Linked DNA regions of Arabidopsis thaliana. The protein of the gene in region 1 purifies or fractionates together with the protein of each later gene. This does not show direct contact. Each region holds a gene or a part of one and is shown on either strand. Other genes may lie near its edges. The genes, in order: ATS9 and RPT5A.

Region 1 (4,987 bases):
CTTTTTTGGTCTTTGTAGCTTCGCATCGTTTAAGTGTACGTAAAGTTAGTTAAAGATTATGGACATTAGTCTAGTTAATCTTTCAACCAAGAAGAAACCTCATTCAATTGGACATTTAAGTTTTCACTTTTCAGCTATAAACTGACAATCACACAATAATGGGATACCTACATAACTAGAATAAGGTTTTTACTGTTTATGAAGAAGAAATTGAACAAATATTGGAACACTCTAAATGTTTGTCCTTCCAATAAAAGACCAGTAAACCACTAATGATAAATAACCTTTTCAAACAGCCAAAAAAATGTCTTAAATCTTAACGAAATATTATGATTTGTGAAAATATATGCCTTATCAACATTTTTGTGGATGACTGTAGTATGTCACATTTTAGTGTTAACATTTAAAATAAACGTTTTAACAGAATTTGTTTACTTCATCAATAATCACGAAGCTAACTAGAAAAGCTACTGTGATGAAGCAGCACATAAAAGAATATGACAGAAGAAGAGAACAAAATCAAGACTTGCTTGTGTGCAAGTCATGTCCTGAGTTGAGAAAAGAAATGGTGGGTCCTGTGAATTGAGTTCTGGGTTGGTCAGAATTTATAAATGCGGAGATAGAAAAATCAATGAGATTTGGATGAGGTAAAGATTAAAGGTTTTGGAAAAAGAGAACACAATGTTGACTTGCGAGGCTAAGAAAAAGAAACTGCAACAACCAGATGAAAACAAACTACATTTTAAGCACTAATAAAAGGTAAGAAACCATGACATAATAAGATCATAAGCAAAACGAGTAATGTGAACAATTCAGACAAGTTTACTTTCTCCATTGAGAAACATCAGTTTCTTTGAGTCCAAACGATATCTAAAACCAGAAAGAAAGAACGATAGAATGAGATTCATACGACCAACTCACTCACTCTCTCAGGACATGATTTTGGCAGACCGGACATAAAGGCTGTCGACGACCTTCCCCATGTTTGCAATGGTTTCGAGGGTAGCCGAGTAGATAGCATCTGCCTTTGGGTCTTCGAAGATGATGAGGCATCCAGCTCCTTGATCCAAGGTACCTGCAAATTTCTTGTCGAGTATCATCTGAGATAGCTTCTTTTCCACATGGTCGAGCGGCAATCCAATGAGCTCAGCAATGTGAGCTATCTCAACTCTTGAGAAGGGCTCGATCAAACGACACAGATTTTGCTCCAGAAGCGTGTCATAGAGAGAAGAGAGATGCCTGTGGACAATTGGGTCATCTTCAAGCTGTGCTTTGTAGTCACGGAGTGCGTTCTCAAACAACTTCAAGGACCTCTTCGAGTGAGCATCAGCGACTGCTTTCATGGCATCCAGGTCAGGGCCAACGTACTGTAGTCCAGCCTTTGAGGAGATTATTCCTGCAACATCATCAGCTTGGCTAACCATGATCTTGCACAGTAACATGTACTTCAAACTGAAAACCGCTCTCGGATCTCCGAGAGCGTTGAAGGACTCAAAGGCTTCAAAGAAGTAACTGTATCCGGTTTTGTAGTCTTTCTCTTCAGCATGAAGAATCCCACTCTGCAGATCTATCGTGCCTTGTTGAGCTGGTGGGACATATATAGCGTTAGCAGCTGTCCTAGCTGCAGTGAGTGCAGCTTTTGCCTTGGGTAAGTTTCTCAATGAGAAGTGAAGTTTGCTCTCCAGCAAGTCTATGTCGACCAGAAGGAGCTTATCATCTAATCTCCTAACCTCTTTTACCAAAGTACTCAACAACGCCAAAGCTTCAACATACTCCTTGTTCTCCATCAAAAGAGCTGCAAGCCTAGCCTCTACTCGCTGCCTGAGGAAAGTACGCTTCTCAGCGCGGGTCCATTCGACCATCTCTTTGCAGAGAGTGATCTGGAGATCAGTTGTTCCAGGAATCTTTGCCACAGCATCAATGATTCCTCTGACGATTTTCGCAGTTTTCGCCTTGGGGATTAAGGAAAAGAAAGGCCTCAACTTGGTCAACAGTTTCCGGAGATCCTCACCTCTCTTCTCTTCAGTCAATCGATCACAAAGGTTTGTAATCGCTTGCTCCTTGATCCGTATAGCCTCAGGAGATGAAGAAGGGTCTTCCAAAACCTGGTACAGTATCGTAATAGCCTCCGAGCTGTTGGCTTCTAAAGCCAGGGAAATCGTCTCTGTGGTAGCACGATAGGAAACCATTGTGGGTTTAGTGCAAACTCAAATCCCTGCAACAATAAAGCCATAGACCTGTTAATGCAATGTTCAAATATTTCTCCTTTCAAGCTTATTGATACTCTTTAGGTTTCACATCACTACAAAAACAAATCCATCTTCGATACATTACCAAGATAATCAGATAAAGACAAGCCACGATGGTAATTTATCACTGTAATTTATCAACTCTTCTGTACCTAATGATCAAGACAAGCCTAGAGATCTATCAAAGACAAAGATACAACGAGGCTACAATAAGTAATACAGGAACTGAATTACAAAGCCTATGAAACTATAACCTAATTTTTAAGTAATAAGATGAATCACAGAGACATAGTTCAGTAATTACTAACTTATTCAGTTCGAATTCTTCGACTCAAATACTTTTAAGATCTATTTAATTTTGTATTCAGCTTCTTTCAATCAGAATTAGAACATCCTCGGGCCCATCTTCACTGAGATCAACTAAATCGAAGAAAGCTAAACCCTAGAACTATCGAGACAAGGAACCAGATGTGGTTTTTTAAAACATCGAAAACAATACGCATACCAAAACCCAGAATTAAGCAGATCTGATAAGCAAACCCAGAAGAAGAATTAATGAAATTTCGCAAGAACAAGACTTACCGATGAATCGTCGGGGGCGTGAGATTTTGGTAAAGCTTTTCGACGACGGTATAGAAGAAATAAGAAGAAGAAGATTCGAGAGTTTTTTTTGGCTTGAAAGAAAAGATAAATGGACAGTCTTCTCGTAGTTTTACAATTTTTTGAAGGGTATATTTGTCTTTAGATGCTGAAATCAGGAAATAGAGAACGCTTAACAAATTCGGCGTCTTAAAATCTAGCGTTTCGGATTCAGAGTTTGAAAACCAACGCCAGACGCTGCAAAAGATCCTGGTGCAAACGCTTGTCGTGAAAACGCGTTTTGTGATTCAGGCCTAGTGGCTCAGACTAAAGGCCCAATATATACAAAACTCTGATCCGCCTTCTTTAGGTAAGGGTTCGATTTTATTTGTTGTCTTTTGCTTATTTCAGTTTGAGTCATTTACCTCAAACTATAATTCACATTATATGTTACATATGTAGCTTTCTCAAACTGTCATAAATTTCACTATGCATGTAAATGATTTAAATTTATTTTAGAGTAGGGTTTTTCACTACATCATGCATGTATCTGTTCAATCGAAAAGTAACAAATAAATATTGGAAGGTAATCAAATCATTCGTAAAAAAGAACTCCCAAAAATAAAACAATAACAACGAAAAAAAAACATGGTTAATTAGTAAACTCAGACAGACACATAAAAAACATAAATAAATGTTTTATATATTAAAAAGAGTCATCAAAAAAATTGAAAGTGTTGAGACTTTGAGAGATCGATGTATATGGGTGTGTATATATGTATATTAAGCTTAGAAGGTGACGTCAGGGACGATTCCAAGCTCCTTGAAAACTTGAGGGCATTCAGCGAGAGGAGTCTTCCTCATGAACCCAAGTGGGTTAATGGTTCGAGTCTCGTTGGAGACAATGCCATCATTGGCCGTGAGACTGATTCTGGCTGCGTTTCTTAGGAATTCTTGGTTGTTCACGTCTCCACACTCTGGGTCAGGTGATTGGAGGAGGACGATCTCGCACACTTCCTCTTCGTGGTCACCCATTACTTCCATCTGGTAGTTACCGGCGTTGTCGGTCACGGCTTCTTTGGTTAGGGTCACTGTCTGGTTCTCACGACCCTTGCACTCAAGCTTTACCTTTGCCCCTGATATACACACAATAACGTAATTAGTTTTTCTTATAATCTTGCAACACTAACTCTTAGAAATGTGACTAACCACATTTTTATAAAATTTTAACATTGTTAAAAAGACGTCTATATATGCTTGTAATCATTTTTGTGAATTTTTACTACACAATTCTAACCATTGACCTATATACCATAATGGGATCGATTTTTTATCAACCAATATATTTTGCTATTGACAGTATGCTCAACAAATGAATTTGATTAGAGAATGTGGTTAATTACCCTCGAGAAATTTGCTGATACGGGTGATGAATTGGACACGGCATGTGTCGCAGTAGACGGAGCCCTTGATGTGGAATTTGTCAAAGTCGTCGGCATCAGCTGCGGTGAAGTGAACGAGGGTGGTGAAACATAGGGCAGAGGCAAGGAAGACAATGAAGAATTTGGCCATTATGCCTTAATCCTTTTTTTTCTTGTGTTTTTACTTCGGTCTTCTCCTCTCTTGGATTTGAGAGTTTATTTGTAAAATTTAGTTTTTAAGGGAGAACAAATTGTAAGCTTTGGTTGAGAGGAGACGCTATGATAGATCCAACCAAATATCTCCTTTTATAGAGAACAAATAGACAAAACAACAAAACCATGTGATTCTATATCTATTTTTGGAAGTTTTTTTGTTTATTTTTGGTGTTTTTGTTCTTGAGTTTTGTACGGCTGTGTTTTCCTTGAACCCGATCTTTTCTCATTGCCATCTGTTTTTCTTTTCTGTTAATAATTCTTCATAGATTCCGTTTAGGTCTTTTTTGTATGAGGATGGTTTCCCAAATGTCAATCTATAGAATCTTATGTATGTTTAGACCTCCACTAAAAAGATTCAATGGGGGTGGAGAATTATCTACTAGACCCCAAAGTGAAAGTTTTATTAGTAGTAAATGACTAATTAATCTGAGCCGCACATGAAAGCTTTTGCACAATTTTCTTTGAATTAAGAAAAATTCCAAAAACAAATTGACTAGAAACAAATGTCTTCAGCTGAATCTG
Region 2 (5,343 bases), on another chromosome or scaffold:
TATGTATTAAACTTTAATATGAATGATAAAGATTTCCTTAAATAATCTGTTAATAAAAAAAAAGCAAAAAAAAAAAAAGAGAGCACAATTTGAAAGGAAAGCCCAATAATAGAGGCCCATGGTGAAAGTCTTAGGCCCCGGGTGGTAATCTAATCACGTTTGTAGTGATAATCTAATCACGTTTGTTTTTAATGATAATGCGTTGTCCCCATCCTTGTTCTTAATTCAATTGTCAATCACCTCCATTAATTTTGTGTTCACCTCGGTTAGAAAGCTTTGTTTTAATTTGTTAAGACGATGCTGATATATCCTGAATCATGATTAAATTAAAATCCTTAAGTTAAAGTCATTACAAAAACCACTTTTGAATATTGATCAGATATTGGTCCCATGCCCAAAACGATGGTGCAAAATGTCTAAAGAGTGATAAGCTAGCAATTACTAGATATATACTAAAAGAAATAGTTTCAGTTCCAAGCATGAGCACTAGTCATAGTTGAGGCTCACAAATTTCTTGCAAATCATCTTCGAGTTTTCCACGTCCAGAGATGGTCTCCTTCCTCCTGATACACACACAAACAACTAAGTATCTTCCATCGTCTAAAAATAAACAAAAGCATACGTAATTACCCATTTCCTCCACCTTCTTATTTATAATCAAGTTGAACAATTTTCAAATCATCCAAGACACAATCATTTATTAAATATTGATATATGCAATGACAAAATATCCAAAAGTATTGACTTCAATGACATTCAATTTTTGCTATTTTTTTATTTTTTTGTACGAATAGTCTTCAGATCTTTTTCAGTTGATGTCAATCCAAACTTTAATCATGAGTCTATCACAATATTGTTGAAGTACATAAAACAAGGAATTGATTTATTTATAATCGAGTTAGGAAAATTTTAAACTACAAACATAACATAGTTACACAGAATTGTATCAAAATATCATTATTGTTGTTATATGTATTCATTTAGTGAAAAAATATTAAAATCTTATAAATAATTAGCTTTATAGACAAAATATATAAATTGATATTTCAAATCACAAATGAATCTAACCATAAAAATTATCACTACATATTATGGATCTAATTTTATTAATAATACAAAAATAAACAAATAATAAATATAAATTAGCATAAAGAACAATCAATGTAATTTTTTTTTAACAATTTTTAAAACAAACCCACGCGTAGCGTGGGTAGTCATCTAATACAAATATAATTTTACCTGATTTCATAATCGCATATTGCTGACTTTGGACGTCTTCAGTGATCACTTTCATCCTCCTGCTTTTTCGCCTCAGATCTAGCCGAATGATACTGCACAATAAATGTGATCCCTATGGGAATCACTACTCTTGAAATTGCATACATCCCGCCAACTCCCGTGAACGTCATCGTTTTGCTATATGAAGATGGCTCCACTATCACAACCAATGCTGACTTAGCTACAAAAAAAGCTTGTTTAATGCTACTACTTTTCTGTTGTTGATTATTGTTTTTTTTAGATTCCGAGGCATTACTTGTCATTTATGATTGAGTTTTGAGCATATATATGTTTACTTAACGCTCGAATATATGACAAGAATTTGTAAAGGTTTATGATGTTTTAATGAATTTTGGTTTTCTTTTAAATTTCGGATGAGAGACATAAATAAAACAGCATTTCTAATAAAGTTTGTTTTTTTGGAAGAAATCTTTCTGTTGCAGTTCTTGTGATTAAGGTTCTTGCAATTTCAAGAGTAGATTTAGACATTCATAATTGGAATGTAAATCTGAAAGCTATAGTCAGGGGGGTTTAAATTGTCTTATATTGAGTTAGTTCGAGAGAATGTGGAAGACTCTAACTCGTTCAGAGGTTTTCCCCTATGCATTTCTTTGAAGACAAGTTTTCCTAAGAAAACTCTTTTTTATTTTTAATAGCTAATATAATTTACTTTTTTCTTTTTGGTTATTTATTTTCTCTCGTCTTCTCTCCTTATTGGTTTTTTTTCTCTCATAGTCGCTCTCCCTCTCCTCTCCCTTTGAGAAATCCCTAACTCTTTGCTCTTCTCTTCCCGGCGATCTATCTCTCCGATTTGGGTATTGAAATGGCAACTCCTATGGTTGAAGATACGTCAAGCTTCGAAGAGGATCAGCTTGCTTCCATGTCCACCGAAGATATCACTAGAGCTACTCGTCTTCTCGACAACGAGATTCGAATTCTCAAGGTTTGCCCTATATCTCTCTCGATCTCCTTTGCCTTTATATCGTTCTCCATGATTGTATCTTCTTAAATTGGTTTCATCAATCGCTTTAATTCCAGTAAGGTCAGGCTCGAATCTGGTTTCGATTTTTCGCGATTACGGGTTTAGGGTTTGAGTTTCGTGTAATCCGTGGAAGCAGGAGATGAACTAGACCTTTAATTTTATGACCCTTCTTGTGATTTCTTCGTGTGTTTTCAAAGTTTGGATTTTTCAACTCAACTGAGATTGATTGAATTGAAAAGCTACGTCTTTCTTGTTGCAAATTGGATATGTTGAAATTGCTCATCTTGTGTTTTTCTTTGATGGGGATTTAGGAAGACGCGCAAAGAACAAATCTAGAATGTGATTCTTACAAGGAGAAGATTAAGGAGAATCAGGAGAAGATTAAACTCAACAAGCAGCTGCCTTACTTGGTTGGCAACATTGTCGAGGTATTCAACTAGTTTTCTTATCTTATTTTTGGTATTTTCCTACAGAGTCTTACCTATTTGATTTGAATTCTAACTGTTGTGTTACCATATCATGCTATTAGATTTTGGAGATGAATCCAGAAGATGATGCTGAGGAAGATGGTGCAAATATTGATCTTGACTCGCAACGGAAAGGAAAATGTGTTGTGTTGAAAACGTCTACACGGCAGGTGAGACTTCCAAACCCATTCTTTAGATATGTTTTCTACATCTTCTCTTCCGTTTCCCGTTTCATGTCTGAGCAAATACTTTTGTTTTCGTTATGTGGACTGCAGACCATCTTTCTACCAGTTGTTGGACTCGTGGATCCTGATAGTTTGAAACCTGGTGACTTGGTTGGAGTTAACAAAGATAGCTACTTGATTTTGGATACCTTGCCATCCGAGTATGACTCTAGGGTTAAAGCCATGGAGGTCGATGAAAAACCAACTGAAGATTACAATGACATTGGAGGACTAGAGAAGCAGGTATGTTTATACCATTGTGTTAATCTGCTGTATTGACTTTGCTTCGTAGTGAAACTAATTGAGTTTATTTCTGGAACAGATCCAAGAGCTTGTAGAGGCAATTGTGCTTCCCATGACGCACAAGGAACGTTTTGAGAAGCTGGGTGTTCGTCCACCAAAGGGAGTGCTCTTGTATGGTCCCCCAGGGACTGGTAAAACTTTAATGGCTCGTGCCTGCGCAGCACAGACCAATGCCACCTTCCTTAAATTGGCAGGCCCTCAATTGGTCCAGGTATATATATATATATATATATATATATATATGAGTATCAGATTCAATTCTCATCTCTTAGAACTCTTTACCCTGTCTGGATATAAGATTTTAGTGTTCTGGCAACAATAATTACATGTGACGAGCTATAATGATACTTGATTGTAATGACATGATGACATATCCAATTTATATACAGATGTTCATTGGAGACGGAGCAAAGCTTGTCCGTGATGCCTTTCAACTTGCCAAAGAGAAAGCTCCGTGCATTATCTTCATAGATGAAATCGATGCCATTGGTACAAAGCGTTTCGACAGGTACAAATCTTTTTCTGATTCCAATTCATGTATTTCTGCACTTTCTCAGCTATTTGCTCAAATCACATTCTTTGGTTGAGAGTACAGTGAAGTCAGCGGAGACAGGGAAGTGCAGAGGACTATGTTGGAGTTGCTCAATCAACTTGACGGATTCAGTAGCGATGAACGTATTAAGGTGAGTGTCTTTATCCATTCTAAGGACTAATCATACTGGTCTTAAAAATCGTTCTCAAAGAAACAGTAACAACCATACCTTTCTATTTTTTCAGGTGATTGCAGCTACTAACCGTGCAGATATTCTGGACCCAGCACTCATGCGTTCTGGTCGATTAGACAGAAAGATTGAGTTCCCACACCCAACCGAAGAAGCGAGAGCAAGAATCTTGCAGGTTTGTCTCTCCCATTTTTCAAACATGACCCTTGGTGATAAGTAAAAGGCTCTCATAACACAACTAACCCAACTGAATGAATCCAGATTCACTCAAGGAAGATGAATGTCCACCCAGACGTCAACTTTGAGGAGCTTGCACGATCAACAGATGATTTCAATGGAGCTCAGCTGAAAGCAGTGTGTGTAGAGGCAGGCATGTTAGCTCTTCGCCGTGATGCCACAGAGGTAAAAAAGACAGAACTCTTAATGATTTGAGCTTTATGATTGTGTAGTTTGGTCTGTTTTTTAAGGTGGGGTTCTCTGTTGTTGTGTTTGTGTGTTCAGGTGAACCATGAAGACTTCAATGAAGGTATCATCCAAGTCCAGGCCAAGAAGAAAGCAAGCTTGAACTACTACGCCTGATCTCTCTCTCTCATCATTTATTTTTATCAATGCCGTTTATCTTTCAACTAGTTTTACTTGTACCCTCATTCCGATTTGGATCTTTTTAAGTTTTCGAATCAGGATCATCTATTATATCAAAATACATTTAATTGTGTTCATCTTCTTCTGAAAACAAGTTTGGAAATTTAGAAATCTTAGTATCTCTATAGTATTGGTTCATGGTATATAGACCTATTCTAAAATTATGTTTTCTTTCAGAAATTTTTAAGAGAATTCACTTATCAATCTCTAATATTTTGTATATATCATAGTATTTTGAACGTATATCAAGTGAATTTTTAAAACTAATCAGGCCTTTTTCGTTGCACTAATCCTTTCAAGCTCTCAATTTAAGGAAATTGCATAAAAGTTAACTTCACTTGAAATAGAAAAATCTCTCAAGATTAACCAAAAGTACTAACAAAAAGTAAAACTCCAAAATAAAAAAATAAAATCTGTAGCTTTGAAGTATTCAGCACTTGATCTCTTTCAAGCCGTAGGCCAAGTAGAGAAAAGTAGGATCAGTGGCTCCTTCTCTGTAGTAAGCAAACACTAAGCTCCCTTCTTCTCCTTCCATGCTCTCTCCCACGAAGCTGTCACATTCGTTGAAAATAATTCACCAATTAGACAAAATTAACTTCAAAAAAAAAATAGAAGAAAGAAGATAAAAGAGAAGAGCTTACAATTGGAAGTCTTTGAGCTTTGACATCAAGAATTTGGTGGCACTCTCAATGTGTTTCTTGAACAGCTCTTGGTTTTCTGAGTCC

What was found.
Region 2: the proteins of ATS9 (region 1) and RPT5A purify together in Arabidopsis thaliana (affinity purification with western blotting; 2 studies listed by BioGRID, with this or other methods). This does not show direct contact.

The regions. Positions count from the first base shown.
Region 1 is NC_003070.9:10,178,442-10,183,428, reverse strand, and holds ATS9 (non-ATPase subunit 9), read right to left. Parts: upstream 3,128-4,987; 5' UTR 2,832-3,127; intron 2,831-2,831; exon of another isoform or gene 2,558-2,830; intron 2,216-2,557; 5' UTR 2,190-2,215; coding exon 930-2,189; 3' UTR 641-929; downstream 1-640. Other genes in the region: AT1G29140 (Pollen Ole e 1 allergen and extensin family protein), read right to left, coding at 3,618-3,964, 4,232-4,400. UniProt on the Arabidopsis thaliana protein: Component of the lid subcomplex of the 26S proteasome, a multiprotein complex involved in the ATP-dependent degradation of ubiquitinated proteins. In the complex, RPN6A is required for proteasome assembly.
Region 2 is NC_003074.8:1,601,439-1,606,781, forward strand, and holds RPT5A (regulatory particle triple-A ATPase 5A), read left to right. Parts: upstream 1-1,920; 5' UTR 1,921-2,101; coding exon 2,102-2,221; intron 2,222-2,571; coding exon 2,572-2,688; intron 2,689-2,789; coding exon 2,790-2,897; intron 2,898-3,002; coding exon 3,003-3,194; intron 3,195-3,273; coding exon 3,274-3,465; intron 3,466-3,643; coding exon 3,644-3,762; intron 3,763-3,849; coding exon 3,850-3,937; intron 3,938-4,031; coding exon 4,032-4,151; intron 4,152-4,237; coding exon 4,238-4,378; intron 4,379-4,477; coding exon 4,478-4,555; 3' UTR 4,556-4,805; downstream 4,806-5,343. Other genes in the region: AT3G05540 (Methionine sulfoxide reductase (MSS4-like) family protein), read right to left, coding at 5,049-5,169, 5,260-5,343. UniProt on the Arabidopsis thaliana protein: The 26S proteasome is involved in the ATP-dependent degradation of ubiquitinated proteins. The regulatory (or ATPase) complex confers ATP dependency and substrate specificity to the 26S complex.